Linked DNA regions of Drosophila melanogaster. The protein of the gene in region 1 interacts with the protein of each later gene in a pairwise test. Each region holds a gene or a part of one and is shown in the gene's direction. Other genes may lie near its edges.

Region 1 (7,039 bases):
GCCTTTTACAGTAGAGTGAAATTTTTGGTAAGCATTTAATATTTTATCGGCTGGGTCTTAAATAAATTTTCATGGAATAAACACTTCAAAGAGCTGACGAAAAATGTTAAAGCAACTAGTTTAAAAAAAAAAATGTGCACCGAGAAATGTTCACCAAAAGCGGATGTCTACTGAAAAATTCCAATTGAATCGATTTAGAGACTCCATACCTTTTTTTTTTTGGCTATGACAAAAATGAATAAGAGCAGCTTGATGGGATGGTTAAGAACCGAGAGATTATCCAAACGAATACCTGGCACATGCCTCTCATATTTTTGCTGCATGATGTTATGTCCTTTATTCAGCTCCATGCCCCAAGGAGATTTAAAGGATTCTTCTTGTGGCAATTGCAAGAGCATCTCCATCCACTCACTGGACGGGGCAGGGGTTAATGTTGCCACAGGTGTCGGTCCACATAGGTACACATACACATCCATGTCTTAGCTTCGACCTTTTATGGAAGCAATTACCAAATGTTATCCATCCTTTCAGGCTGCACCAGCAACTCCAGCTCCATCGAATGCCACCAGGCCTGCGACTTTGACAATTTCGGCCGCTCCATCTCACCTCCTGGCCAGAGTTATTCCGCATCCAAAGGCAATCGGAATGCGGCACGCAGTGGAAAAACCCGATACGAGGTAACCATGCGACTGGGCGCCAATCTTACAGGATACTATCGCCATGCCGACCGTGAGCAGTTGTCGGGCGTTATGGAAAGACAGGTGAGCTCAAGATACTCTTAAGAAGACTTTAAAGTGATACGAATAATATAAAAAAAGCACACATATTTGCATACAATATGTTGATATTACTTGTTTACTCAAATGATACTTTTCAGAAAGTACGTGCGTCACTAAATGTTTGAATAGCGTGAAAAAATATGTTGGTAATATTTAAATGAAATATTTGGGCTTTTTACACGCAAAGTATATAATATATAATTCATGGAAATCCAGCATTTTATCCCCAACTTTATCATATAATTTAAAGCACAAATATTTTTATTTATATCAATATCATCTTCAAATAAATATAAAATAATTTTTGGAAACAACACTTTGTAAAATATTTTTTATAATATAAGAGAATGCTCAGTCCACATAGTTTTGCGTCAAATTGAGCTGATCCTCGGCCTCATTTCTGGCTCCACTAGCTGCTCCGTGCAGCACATTTCTCACCGCACCTGGCGTCGCGTCCAAGGATGCATTCCACATGGGCGGATGACCCGCCTGTTGCTGGGCATTGTTCGGAGTTGGACTGCCGGCACTGCTCTCCATGATCGTTGGCATGTTGGGTGGATGCTGGGCGGAAGTCGCCGGCGGATCAACGCGCTCCATCAGCTGGGTGAAGCTACCACCGATGAGATCACTGCTCTCGTGACGCTTGTAGCTGTGGGCAGATCGGGAGAGTGGACGCCAACGGTTCAGCTTCTTGGAGGCCATTCGCTGCAGCGGCGGAGTGCGTGTGCCCGTTTCGGGCTTAAAGGAGGTGGCTCCCTTGGCACCCGAAGTGTGCTGCTCCAGAAGAGTGCTTACCAGCTTGTCCAGCGCCTTCAGATCCACATTCAACTGGGAGTTCGGAATGGAGTTCATTCGACTGCCAGACAGACTGCCCGATCCCGTTTGTCCTGGATCACCATCTGTCTTTAGGCGGTTTAGGCCGGCTATCTTTGCCAGTCGCTCGGTTAGCTGAAAAAATCAAGGAGAATTCATTAAAGTAAAAGGTACCACTTTCTGATTTCAAATGATCTAATATCGCAACACTTTGAAAGAAAAATAGCTGCTTATTTCCGCTCTACCCAATTAGATTGCCATTCTGGCCTTGTTTCCCAACTGCCAACTCTTTCTAATAAATCGCCTGTGAGACTTCAGGACTGATACTTCAGCGGAGCCAATTAAACTTTCCGTTTTCCCATATGCGAAATTACAATTAAGCAATAAAAACTAACGAAATGTGCCCTTAGGCCCTGTGGCAACCGAACAAGTGTTCGCTCTGCAGCGGCTTCCAAGTGCCTCGTTGCAACGAAGGACGAAAGGACGAAGTGTAGGCAAACTGGCAAACTGGCTGACTGGTTGACGGGAGGCAAACAGTTTTGCAGCCTGCCACATTTCGCCTTCGAAGGATTCTCGCTCGGTCGCTCGGTGTGCGACTTTAATTGATGTTTCATTTCCGTTGCAAAGTGCTTCCGTTTTCCTGAGCTCCGCGTCCGCCGTTTGTTTTGTCCAACTGGCGGGGGAATCGACCTGGTAATTGAGTATCAATGCGGTTTTAAGTGAAAAATGCTGCCAACCTTTGGCAACCATCTGAGCCACCCACCCATCCATCCACCCATCCATCCACCCACCCATTCACCCAGCCATCAACCCACCCATTCATCCAACCATCCAACCATCCACCCTATCTCAATGGCCGACCATTTCCGTTTTTAATCTTTTGCCTTGATTTGCTCGCTCTTCGCTTCGTTTTCGTTTTCATTTCATGTTTTCTGTGTTTTTTCAATTGCCTCGTGCTCCATTCAAATGGGGTTAATTGAGTTTTAGTGGCCAGGACTCACTTTAAACTGATTACAAGCTGCCGCCAGAGGGCGTGGTGGTGGTGGTGGTGGTGGTGGCGATGGTTGTAGGCTTTGCAAGTTTGTTTTGCATGCCACTCGGAATATTTGGAGCATGTCAGTTTGCCAGCCACTCGAGTTTCTTGGCCCAAGACCACCCACCATCCACCATCCACCATCCACCACCCACTTTTTTTCGCCGCCTAGAAACGAATTAATGTAGAAGTTGATTTGTGGCAATCGACGCTTGGATGGCTTTTGAATGCTGCTTGCCAGCGAGTTTTAATTGAGGCGCTCGTCTGCCTCTTAAACAGGAAATTAAGAAAGTTTCTCCTACCCAAGTTCCATGATTATGGATCCGGGCGAGTGAAAGTCAGATAAAATGTCATTAGCGAATACATCAAGGTGATGGGATATGCAGATCTTCGTTAAGCATGATTTTCGTGCTGAAAAAAGCACCACACTGAACCAAAACCCAATGACAAGGTCTTAAGCGCTGAGCTGCATGCACCAAGCTTCGGTTTTTATGCTACAATATGACAGATTTTGTCCAGTGGATCTAGTTTCATCTAGTGCATGAAAACCGTAAGGAGTTTATTTTCGTCTTGCAACAGGTTCATCTGGCTTAACCATAAATCTTACATGATTTTCAACTACTCAGTTGTTGCTCTGCTGCTCCGTTTTTTTTTTTTTTTTTTTGTTGCAACTGCCCCAAGTGACCCCTTCTTTTGCTTTCCCATTCTGGGCTCCCATGATTTATGATCTTCCCAACTTGGTTTATTGTCGCATCGTTTGGCCGGCACTTTTTCTCCCGGTCACCGTGCATTTTCTTGTCCGCCTCGCAGGGCTTATCAACTAATGATTGAGGTCAGTTGGCCAACGTCTGCTCTCTGCCCATCCGCCAAATAATTGCCGGCAATTAAGCTTAAATGCTGGTTGGCCTTCCGTTCCTTGGGGCAATGAGAAATGCAATTTGAAGAGATATTCCTGTCGCCCGAAACTTGGCCAAACTTGAATCGATTCAAAACTAGTTTATTTAAATAAGTTCTTTAAGGGGGTGACCCATTGTTTTGGCAGCAGATAAACACACAGATAAACAGATGTGCTTGACATTTTATTTCAAAAATCGATGGATGACTGGCAAACAGAGTGTTGTAGCAACTGTGTAAATATTATAACACAACGGCATATGCCCATCCACCCATTGATGAATAAAAACTTGTCAAATATTTTGATTGAACCGAATGTTAGGCCCAATCTTAGGCACAATGACTAATCAAACACTGATAGAGTGCGAAAACTGGCTGAAAGCCGAAAGCACACCTGTGCACACTTGTGCGAATTGAAATCAATCGGTGGTGTAGTTGCTATAAAAGCATTGGATTTCATAGGGAAAGATTATCATTCGCCATCTGCCGCAAGCATCAGCAACATGAGGAAATCACTACTGATCGTTGGCTCCCTCCTGGTGACCATCTTTCTGGCCCATCTGCCAGTTGGTCTAGCCGTCTCGTGTGCCGATGATCCCACCGATACGGCTTGCATCGATTGCACAGATACCGCGAATGCAGCTGAAGCCGATTGTACCACAACCACGGCTGCTCCGGAGGTAACCACAGCTGCCGCAGAGGTAACCACAGCGGCCAGTGCCGATGGAGAAACCACCACCGCAGCCGCTTCGGCCACCGACACGACCACCGCCTCATCCGGAGGCAGTGGCAAGAAGCGCGTGAGGAGGACCTTCAGGCGTAAGGTGAGCCGCCCCAGGAAGATCAAGAAGAGGAGGAGCAACCGAGGCAGGAACAATAGGAGGAGCCAAAACTCGGGCTAAGCACTGGACGCTCAATCGCTCAAGAATGATAACAACAATGACAAGGCAATGCTACCCTGTACTCCTAAACAGCTTTAGTTTTAAGTAAACAAATCAATTTTAAACTGGGCCCACAAATAATAAATTATTTTTTTAAAGAAAGTTTAAATTCAAATGTTTTTGATAAATAAATAATATGTTAACTGATAAGGGATATGTATAAAGTAACTATGAAAAAGGGTATTTATGAAGTACTTATAGACTAGCTCCAACCTAATTTGGTAATCAGCGAAGTACTGACACCTGTGCAGAATATTCCTCACCTCGCCAGCCGCATTGCTGGAGTAGCTCATCCGCTTGACCTTCCTGAATGTGGCATCGTTCTCCGCCTGGGCCAGAGCCCTTTCCAGCGCATTGTCCATCTGGGCATCACGCTCGTCCAGGCCGTGATAGAGGGCGCCACTGTGGGGGAGGGCAAAATAGAAAATGGGCGTGGCGTGGCAAACAAGTGTTAATTTTTGTGCAACAATGCCACGAACTTTGAATGACGCGTCGGAGCGGAAAAATGGATACGCCCGGCGTGCAGGAAAACATTTATGGCTTTTTGTTAGTTTCGTGTAAACAAATGGTGCTGGCCCTTTTTGTGCTAAATTAAAAAGCTTACAGCCGTGTGTTAATTTGTTGCATGCATTTGCATTGTTATAATGTCCAACAGAATGTGCAACATTCTCGCATTGCATTTTCAGGCATTAACTTGTTTATTTTAGAGTCATTTACAGAGAATGCGCGTTTTCAATCCGCCCTAAGGTCAATCCAAATTAGAGCTGCCTGTGTATATATATATATATATACATATCGATTCGGTTGCTTTTAATTAATTCAGTAGTATACGTTGCATTTAAAAGTTGAAAAAGCATACAAATTGTGTTGGGCATTTGAAGCAGATTTTTGCAAAATATTCAGCCACTTGGATGGCTTCCAACTTTCAGTTGCATTTTTTCTTCCATATTTTATAGCCATTTTTTTCTTTATTTTTTTTTTATATTTTTTTGTTTGCATTTGCGTTTGCCTAAGACCGCCATAAATACTCGGCAATGATTTCAATTATGCGATAAATATTTCACAGAATGTGTTGCACTTATATTTATTTATGGACTCTAGGCGGCGTGGGCGCAACATTCGCACTCTGACGACATAAATACCTTCATTATTTACCTTTTGAGAAAATGCGTTCAAGCATTTGGCGCAGACAAATGTTGGGAGTAAATTGACTTGCCCCCAGGAGAATGAGTATGAGTCTGGGAATGAGTATGGGTATGAGTATGAGTATGAGTCTGGGAATGAGTATGATTTTGCACACACGGCCGGGCTCAATTATTCAACAAAAACGGAATTGTAAAGGATATGCGAAATATGAGAATTGTTTCAGGGTCGGCGGGTCCCCAAAGAGTTCTTTTCTCCCCATCTTCATGGAAAGTGAATGTGTGCCCCGCGAACTCACCCGCTGAACTTGTCCATGCCCCTGACGGTACCCATCCCTCCATGTCCTCCAGGACCTCCGGCCATCGAGCTGCGGCTGCGAGGATGCCGCATTGTTGAGCGATTCGTTTTGCGTACGGTGCGAAGATCTGTTTCCCAAAATCTGTGAGAAAAGGGGGGAAATTTATTGTAAAAGCAATGTATTTTTCGTTGTATGCATAGAAGAAGAGTTGAGTGACAAACGATTCAACAGCTATTAGGTATGAATGTTTAAACTTTTTGTTAAAATAATTATATATCTTCTAATGATTAGTTCAAACAATTCTAGAAATTCTACAAATTCTTAGAAGCCTTTCAATATGGGTTTTTAATACTACTATGATATGGATCCTACGTTTCTGTTTTTCATATTAAGCTGCCTGTAAAATATGACTCATTTAATTAAGTATAGTAATTTCCCACTTTCGCCACTAAGACTGCACTGTAAAAGAGCTGTAAAATTATATTTCGAATGATTGGCAATGCACGACTCTTTTTTTTTTGGAAAACTTTTAGTTCAATTTTACTCGGTGCCCGTCGGAAAACTTTTTCTATTATAGGAAATAACCTTCGGGCTCCCGGCAGAAGCTGTCCCCATTTATGTTGGCATAGGAGTTGCTCTCTCGTCGGACAGAAAACCCCTAAAAATCATTTTGAATTGGCGGAGACAAGAAATTCGCAACCATAAACCGCTGTCAAAAGAAAAACCGCAGCAATGAAAACAAAACCAATTCGCCAGAGTCGAGCAAACTGGATGGGTCTCTAGTATACGATGAGTAACAACAAATAAATATGAAATCATGCACTTTATGCGTAATGCAACAGCCTGCGGCAAGAGCCCGGCCATGGGAGTCCCTTTCTCTGCTGTTGGTCTCTTTTCTGCTTTGGTTTTTGGTCCTGTTCTCTGCCCAGGCTTTTCCAGAACCAGGACACTCGGCTAAGAGTGGCAGCGTGTGAGCCCAACAAATGGTATCGGATTCGAATTGCTGCATAGCCGTTCCTTCTAGTGGCCAGCTTATATTGAAATCCGATTCGAGTGCCTTTGTTTTCTATTTTTTTGTGAACAACAAATGGTCAATATTCGACTGGCTGTAGTGCAGGAATCAGATCAAAATGCTGGT
Region 2 (8,831 bases), on another chromosome or scaffold:
CTAATTCCTTAACACTCATAGGTGCCCCACCATCTGAGCCTACTGAAAAACCATCGCAGCAATATAGAAAAAAGCCTGGCGCTCGGCGACTGGCAAAAAATCAAAAAGGAGGAACTCAATGCTATGAGGGTCATTAAGCAGATCAAGAATCTACTTCTGGAAATGGATGCACTGCGAGAAAAAGTACGGGAGGAGGATCTGGAACGTTTCGACGACCTAATGAAACCTGGCAGGGATACTGCCTTCGCTGGCATGAAGGAATTTGCGGGTAAGTTTGAAATGCCATCTAAATTCTTTCGGCTTTACCAACACACCTACTGTATTTTTAGAGCTCCAACTCAAATCACCCACCTCCACTTTGAGTTCTCAGTACGACGACGATCTGGACAATCAGCCACAGGAGGTGGATATGAACAGTCTACCCGCACACCGCCACATGCCCCAGCTGCAACTCAATTTCCAGCTGGAGGAACACCAATTGGCGCAGAGGCAAGCCTGCCTGGATCAGATGGAGAACCTGCAACAGGAGATCTACGATCTGCACGGGATGTTCCAGGGAATGCGTCAACTGACTGCAGAGCAATCAGTGGCGGTGGAAAAGATAGCAGACAATGCGGAGGAAGCTCTGGAGAATGTCCAGCAGGGCGAATTGAATCTGCGCCGGGCGCTCACCTACAAGAAGGCCATGTACCCCGTAGTCGGAGCTCTTCTGGGCACCTGTGTGGGAGGACCCATTGGTCTGGTGGCGGGCATGAAAGCTGGAGGATTGGCGGCAGTAGGATGTGGCATCCTCGGCTTCACCGGTGGCTCTGTGCTAAAGGCCAATCCCAATGTAATGCATGGCAACATCGAGGAGGAGCAGGTGGAACCGGATAGCGAGTCAACTGAGAGACTGGAGCTAAAAGAGAAGCCAGAATGACCCGCAGGAGGAAGTGCCCGATCCGCATCCACGGCTCTGGCCACCACGCACATATGGTCGGCGAACACACGACGTTTGGAGGCAGCCACCAACGGAGTGATTTGCAGCGTGCGCAGCTATTGTTCCGTTCAGTAGAAATTTGACCACGATTTTAGTTCAATATCCCCATTTTGTGATTTTCCACGTGCAATAGAGCTAATGAGCATAATGTAACTGCACTTTAGTTTAAGCGTTGGATACTTGTTGTTCACATGACACCGCAAATGTGTGTAGATTTTAAGGCTTTAATATGCAATAATAACTCGTAGCTTTAAAAAAGTAATGATACTATTTGATTGCCATGTTGAGAAGTTCAGACTATATCTGGGTTTTTCAGAACTTGTTTGGGCTTTAATATGCAATATATACTCTTAGCTATAACATCTTTGTAGAAAAAGCCTACAAAATCTCCTAAACTAAGCGAGGACTTATAAACTACGATAAGATACCAGATGGGTAACCCAGCCCCGGATTTATAGGGGAACATTAACCGTGGTCCAGGCCTGTTTGAAGTTCTTCTTCTGCGAGTGCTGCTTCTTTCTTAGACGCTTGGCGGTCTTCTTCTTCTTGAACCACGCAGGATAATTGCCGTACTGATCTTTGAGGGTCTTGCTGTTGAAAATGTGCTCCACGCCCGTGTTCTCGTTGGTCACCTTGACTTTCTCGCCCTTCTCCAGACTCTCCTGGTGCTCGTAGATCAATTCCTGCTCCTCCTTGGATTTGGCCTCCTGTTTTAGGAATACAATTTCTTCTTTAATAAGGATATAAAATACGTAACAAGAATGAAGGTAGTATCGCGATAAACTAAGCCGGTTTTTCGCATATTACATGCATACAATACATATAATACATTAGGTAAATTGGTATATTTGTAGGTGGGTATATCACATAACTAACCCTTTTGAGCTCCTTGGCGGTCTTAATTTCGACCACATCGCTTATATCCTTCATGATCTCATTTCCATCGGCATCTAGGAGTCCCAGAGTTTTCTTCAGTCGAATTAACTCCTTGGCTTCGTACCGCGCCTTCTTTATCTTATTCATTTCATCACGACGCTTTCTCGAGCGATTGTTTCTGCCCATTTCGGTAGTCGGATATTAAGTAATACCAGAAAAAGTCAAAGAAGTAAAGAAATTGCGTTCAATTTGCTAAAAACGTAAACACGTGTGTTTTTGCTAGAGCTGGAAAACTGCCCGATTTTTCTTCGATTTTTTTCAGCGGGCTCTTATCGATAGCGCAAATAAATTAATCGACCAGGGCTTATTTTTAGTTATTTAGCCGCCAAGATTAAAAATTGTTTTTTTTTTACTCTCGTTTTTTAAATAGTTTTATATACTTTCTATGTAAAAGACACTTATCTGTATAGAAATATGTGTCATATTATTTAATTACACCTTATGTCCTTATTTTCCCTAATATGCTGTAGCGCTGTTGTATCAATTATCAGGTACATAAATTTTTAAAAACCACAAAATATATTAAAACATATTAAATTCTAGTTTTTATGACTTTGCCTTTAATGCATATAAGTTATAACTTTTTTAAAAACCACAAATTAAGCTTTTGTGGCTTTTTTCCACTTCCATTTTCGTTTCCATTCATCTCTTTCTTCCCCTTTTCCACTCTGTATTTATTTACCTTTTGTTCTCTCTCCTTTTCAGTATATATATATTGCAATATGATTTTTGTATACAAACAAAATCAGCTGCTGAAGAGAAAATGAGAGGCTTGCCAAATACGAAAAGTAACTAAAATAGGAAATATAGTCGTTGTGAAATGCTCTACACCGACTAGATTTTTAATACACTAAATAGAATTTTATAAAAAATATATGATTGTACAAAATGCAATAGTTTTCTCTAATAGCTAAGACAATGCATATAATAGTTTGTTTAACAGTTTAAAAGAATTCGGCTTAAATGCACTTACTTTTTAAAGACCTTGATAAAAAGGTTTTCACAAAGAGATAGACTGTAAAAATGTCCTAGCTATTTAGCCAAAGTATAAGGTATTGTTAATGTACAATACAATGTGTTTACTTCAGTGACATAGCTGAGTTACTTTCGATTTGGATAGAGCATCCGAAGAGCCTCTCTTGCACATGCGCAGCAGCAGAAAGAGGCAGAAACAGGGTAAGTGTGTCGGGCTCAGCTGTAGAGCCACCAATACATGGGTAGCGCACCAACACCAGCGAACAGCAGAGGCACACAGATAGGGGGGCAACCAGCTTGGTTGGCCAGTTTGTAGACCTTCTGCCATCATTCGCTCGTCAGTCGTTGTTGCTAGCATACGTCACGGAGTTCCTGTAGCGCTGCTCTTCTCCGCACTCTCACCCCCGTCAGTTAAGCAAAAACGGAAGTAATCAGCACAAAAAACAATAAGCACGCCAATTAAAAAACATTTCGAAAACTGTGTAAAAAGCCTTGCTGGTGCAAATTATTGCAGAGAATACGGGTAGATTCCGACACCGATCGATCAATAAACTCCGCGCAGCAAGTAAGTGCAGTTTTAACCCCCCCAAAGAAAAAAAGCAGAAAAATACTGAAGCGGAAGTCCTTCTCCAAGGAAAGGACATTACACTCACACACGCACCAACACATGCTCAGATATGTTTCTCAAAAGTTCTGCTGCAAGCCGATTTACATGTACACACATCCCAAAGTGCAGCCCAGCGATACATACGAAAAAGCAGGAAAAAATTCTGATTGCACCTTCGCATCCAAAGAGTTCACACTTTTGCGGCTGTGTGAGTTTTCCTTGGCTTTCGGCCAGGCCAACAGTTTTCCATCTCCACATGCACTTACACACACACAAACACCGATTTTCCCCCAAATTGTATTTGGCTGCAAATCGGCCGAGTTTCTTGTTAAGGGGATTTCCATTCTGGGCATCTAATAGCCATAAATTTGACTTGCATCACGTTTTCAGCATTTTTAGCGATCGTTATCAGATCCGTGCCACATCTCAGATCTCTGGCATTTCCCAGCTGAGTGCACTGCTAAAAATTTGCCTAAAACCATCTAATGTAGAGCTTATTGGAATAATGAGTGTATAGAATTAAATGCTAACATAAAGCGTTCAGAATTTCTCATACTCTTTTTAGAAAAATTTCTCTCTGTGTTCAGACTTACATATTAGCTGCTGCACTTTGCCCCACGATCGAGTTATATATTTTTTTTTGTGCAATCATTGTGTGTTCATGGAGTGTCAACTGGTGATGGCAAGTGCAATGAATGTTTCGCTGATTAACATCTTAATTAGCCTTGCAATTATTTCCTCAACTATAATATTATGGCCAAAAAAAATCTCCTGGATGCCTGCCAACATTTGCTCAGATGTTGAGATCCGAGAGGCAAACGAAAATAGGGAGCATTTCGAGGAGAAACCTTGCCGCTCCACAGCCACAAAAGCAGGCCCAAAAACCCAAGTGAATCATGCGCCAAATGTGCAGAACAGGTCTTGCAGTTGCCATTGTCCATTGTCCATTTTTCGAGCTGAAGAGCTAAAAAAAAAACCTCTAAAGAACGGAAGGTGCTGGATCGAAACGGAGGGGTGGGGAGTAGGGGTCCAAAAACGAATGGGAAGAACCGTCGCGGATGATAAATCAAGTCTGGCCAGTTGTTTGTCTGTGGCAATGAAAGAAAAATTGAAAAACAAAAGCCACAGACAACAACATAAACAGCGAACAGCTGATGATGCTGCAGCAACGCGAACTCAGCCAAATGTGTATCTGGCAGATAAAGTCAGTTGGCTGCCCCGCTTCGATCGTGGCCAACAAATCTGGTCGCCTTAATTGGCCAAAAGGGTAACCGTAGTCACAGAAAGTCCAACCGATGCACAGGGAGAAAATGTGTTAGATAACAGAAGTATTTGAGTTCTATAATTCATAAGTCGATCATTTGTTTTTTTGAAAGTTATTCATTTTAAGTAAACCATACTTAGCTACTTAGCGACCCAATTCGGTGATTATTTATTTATCTGCAGCAGTGTCAATTCCTCTGAGCACTGAACTGAGTAGGGAATGAAGGCAATTAGGTTATCGTTAGACGGCATTATCTGGTTTAATTAGAGCATAGATACTGACGTGGCAATTTTGGACAGTCCCAGGGGTATCCGCAACTCAGCCCATCGGGTGCAGATCCAAAAACCAACTAACAGGTAGCAGGGGAAGGCAACTGGCTGGTGGCTAATCCCAAAATGGGATGGGACTGCCCTCCCCGCAGAGCCGATAATGCCCGACTATAATTAGAAATTTAGTCAGCCGACTTGCCGTACCTGTACTTAGGCATGTGCATCCGAAAGATATCCAAACAAAAGGCCAAATAACCAACACTTGATGTTCTTGTCTCGGTTTTGGGTTACTGTTTTTCGGGTTCCTCGCAGGTCCTGATTTATGGCCATGAAGAAAGTGAAACTGCTGTAGGTGCGGGCAAAACCAGTTTACTCAGGACACAAACAAAAAAAAACCGATGCGAAACAAAGACACAGAGTCAAGTTCAAGTTGTTTAGTATTTTCGAGTTATGTAAGTTTTTTTTCTCCCCCCTGACTCTTTTGACTGCGCATCTAAATGTCAAAAATTATGTCATAATTCTTGAAAATAAACGCAGCTGCATGTGGGTACTGTAGGGTAGAAGATTCGGGGTGGTAAACGGGGTGGTTCCAGGTGGTAGGCCCAGTAACACTGCACACTGCGCAGTTTCACCCAAATCCCTTCCCCGTTTTCCACTTTGGGGTTGCTGACGTGTTCATTTTCCACTGGCGCTGATTTGCAGCTATGGGCCTTTCATCGATTTGCAGCTAAACCGCTTCCAAAGGGAGGTAAGCATGTGGTGCGGACCCTACACCCAACAACTAGGAGGCACCCTGTGCAAGCCCAAAAATAGCAAAGGTGACCCCCAAAACGGCTGCGGAACGGGAGGCTGCAAAAAAGTTTCTCTGGGCCTACATTTTCCCAAATGCGGAAGTCGTTACTTTGTATATACATATATATTTAGGATGGTGGGTATTCCCTCTATATATATATATATACCAGAGAGAGAGAACCAAAACATTCAATGGGTCCCATCGTGAAGGTTGCTAGGTAATCGTCATCGGGGAAAATGCCCTCCGACTGCGCAGGTCAAACAAATTTGTTTGTAAACAAAATAGGACTGAGAGCAAAGAGAGAGAGAGAGAGAACTAGGGAAAAGTCCTGCAGTGAATGTAGGGGAAAAGCCAGTAACCGTACCAGTTACAGTAACAAACTGCGGTGGGAAAACTATTTCAAGCCCAGTGGGTGGTGTCTGCAAGGGGCGGGGGGCGGTCGATTTATATTTGCCCATAAATCTGCCTTTTAATTGGCGTCGTTCAAACACAACTGTGGCAATTTGAGTGCTATATTTACGCCTGACGCTATGGAAATGGCGTTAAAAATTCATTTGATTATGAAGGAAAGGAAACTGTCAAAGGGCAGGAAATAAGGTCACCAATCTGCATAAAGTTTCTTTAAAAAGAGATCGTACTTGGCAAGCGGAAAAATACTAATTAGAAAGATGTTTGAAAGTATGCTACAATATATTTTCAGCATCAAAGTAGTTCGCATTGATTTTTGCTGCAAACTTTTACGCACTCATATAAATGATTTTGTAACCACTAGAGATATTTTTCTAAACCGTTTTATAAATACAATTTGCATAACAAATTTATGCCCGTGTAGCACTTTATTTTTATAATTGCGCACGTGCTAGACTGCGACTTTAAGCCATACTATACTTACAGTAATCATATTGACTAGACTCATTTCCGAGTCACCAGTTGAGCGCCTGATGTAATCCGCCAATATTGATTGACTTGCGGAATATTAGATTGATTGATTGTTTAGTGAATATATATATATTCGGTGGTCAGAAACGGCGCTGACCCAGAATTCCAAATACGACAGCTGGACCTGCGGACTGCTATTGATAAACAAAGTGATAAAAAATATGCGCCGTGTCCAGTGGATTTGCCTAAGAAGAGTCGCACGGAATGCGCACAGCTGCGTCTCACGTACTAATTGAAATTACGCGTTATAAAACATCCAATTATATATATATATATATATATATATATATATGTATATATGCACAAATATAATAAAAAGCTCAACTAAATGCCATTAATATGTACAGCCAAAGTGCAGCGAGGTGCGCGAACTTGAAATTATATATGTGCGGGCACAGAACCTGCAATCCCACATTTATCATCGATCGTTTGATAAGCTCCGCCACACAACGAACCTTGATTCATTGGTACAGTGGAGCCTCGCAGCTGACTCTCTTTCTAAATGTGTGTGTTGGTGTCGCTGTGACATCAAAGTATCGTTTGCGTCATTTATTGAGCAGCTTAACTGGGCTTTGTAGATATTACTGAAATGAACTTATTATTTGGCTTGATAATAAAGAAGTAGGCTCAGTTTTTTACAAAATAGACCAAACAAATTGTAACATTTTGATATAGTATACAAGTATCATGGTATCATAAAAATATCTAATTCCACCGCATATGGTATCCATTACAGTGCATCGTAAAATTCCACTCAGTGCAGCTGAAAAATGCATTCACATGCATGTCAGCTAGCTGATCGTCTCCATTTCCATATTCACAAATGTTTGTCCATCCAAATGAAAACATAAAGCGAATGAAAAGTTGCCTCACTTGATGTCGCATTTAGCTTCTGTCGATGCGTTGGCGTTCGTCATTTGACTGCGTAGTATTTGCAAGTTGTGCTCCATGGAGGGGATCTTATGGAAAAGGGGGGTTACTTGGATTGGAGTTTGTGCGCAATAACCCAGAAAGAAGCGCTCGGAACAGTTGAGTTCACTTGGGCTGGGCCATGGTTCACTTCACTGCCTTTGATGCTGGCCGCTTTGCCAGTTTGCTGGCTGTTTACATGTTGTAATCATTTTGGGACACAAGATGTGGCAGCCACATAGCTGGCATAAACATTACCCGATTAGATAGAGCACCATTTCTATCTGAACTTTGTTTATTTGAATTTAAAGTGCTGCCGCGCGCATGTAGTTTTTTATTTGGTTTTCTATTTCTTTGGCGTCCACCCGATGACGCCAATATTGTTTACCTCCACGCAGAAGTGGGGGACTTTTGTTTTCTTTACCATGTTTTTTATACTATTTTTTTTTTTTCGAGCATAAACCAAACGCGTGCAGACTAAGATTAATTATAAAAACTTTGGGTTGGCCAATGGCATGGAATGGGGAGAGAGATCACAAGACTTTGTGCGGGTATGCTGGCCATAAACACACATAAATTTCGTCTATGTATATATACGACTATATATATATAGCTGGCTATATCCGGCGATCTTTTTTGCTGCTCTTAAGCACCTGTGTCGTCGCTCTGCTACATTTGTAGTTGCAGTTCTCCCTGTGCGAAAGCTACACTTTGTCGCCGTCAGCTGTTGCATGATAGAATATCTAAAAATATATAGAAAGCCACAACAAAATGCTGCTCTAATGGCTAAACAACCTTGAACCTGGCCGAGAGGTTGTGCTTTTGTCAGAAATATGTATCAGTACATGCACTTGTGTGTTATGGCCCATTATCTAAAACGAAACAAAATTATTTAATGGGTGGTGGCGAGCGAGAATCAATTTTTGGGTGTGCAACAGTTGCGTTTTGAGGTAATTCTAAAAAAACAAAAAATGAATTATTCCATACAATTCACAATACGATATAAATAGTAAAAAAAATATATTTATAATTAAATTAAAATTTATTGTAGAAATTGGTCGGTCTTAACTTTAGTATTTTTCCAAATTATAATTATTAATTTAAATTCAAGTCTAGAAGGTAGCAGAATGTGAAAAAAACATTTAAGCGCTTTGTCTATG

What was found.
Region 2: the proteins of CG13135 (region 1) and TP53INP interact in a two-hybrid assay, tested with the Drosophila melanogaster proteins (one large-scale study listed by BioGRID).

Annotation. Positions count from the first base shown.
Region 1 is NT_033779.5:10,119,723-10,126,761, reverse strand, and holds CG13135 (uncharacterized protein), read left to right. Parts: upstream 1-3,990; 5' UTR 3,991-4,022; coding exon 4,023-4,421; 3' UTR 4,422-4,633; downstream 4,634-7,039. Other genes in the region: CG34109 (uncharacterized protein), read right to left, coding at 1,131-1,727, 4,724-4,862, 5,902-6,042; CG44153 (uncharacterized protein), read left to right, coding at 532-761.
Region 2 is NT_037436.4:4,403,930-4,412,760, forward strand, and holds the start of TP53INP (tumor protein p53 inducible nuclear protein), read left to right. Parts: upstream 1-3,215; 5' UTR 3,216-3,455; intron 3,456-8,831. Other genes in the region: Syx17 (syntaxin 17), read left to right, coding at 22-268, 330-919; CG15019 (uncharacterized protein), read right to left, coding at 1,432-1,686, 1,856-2,041.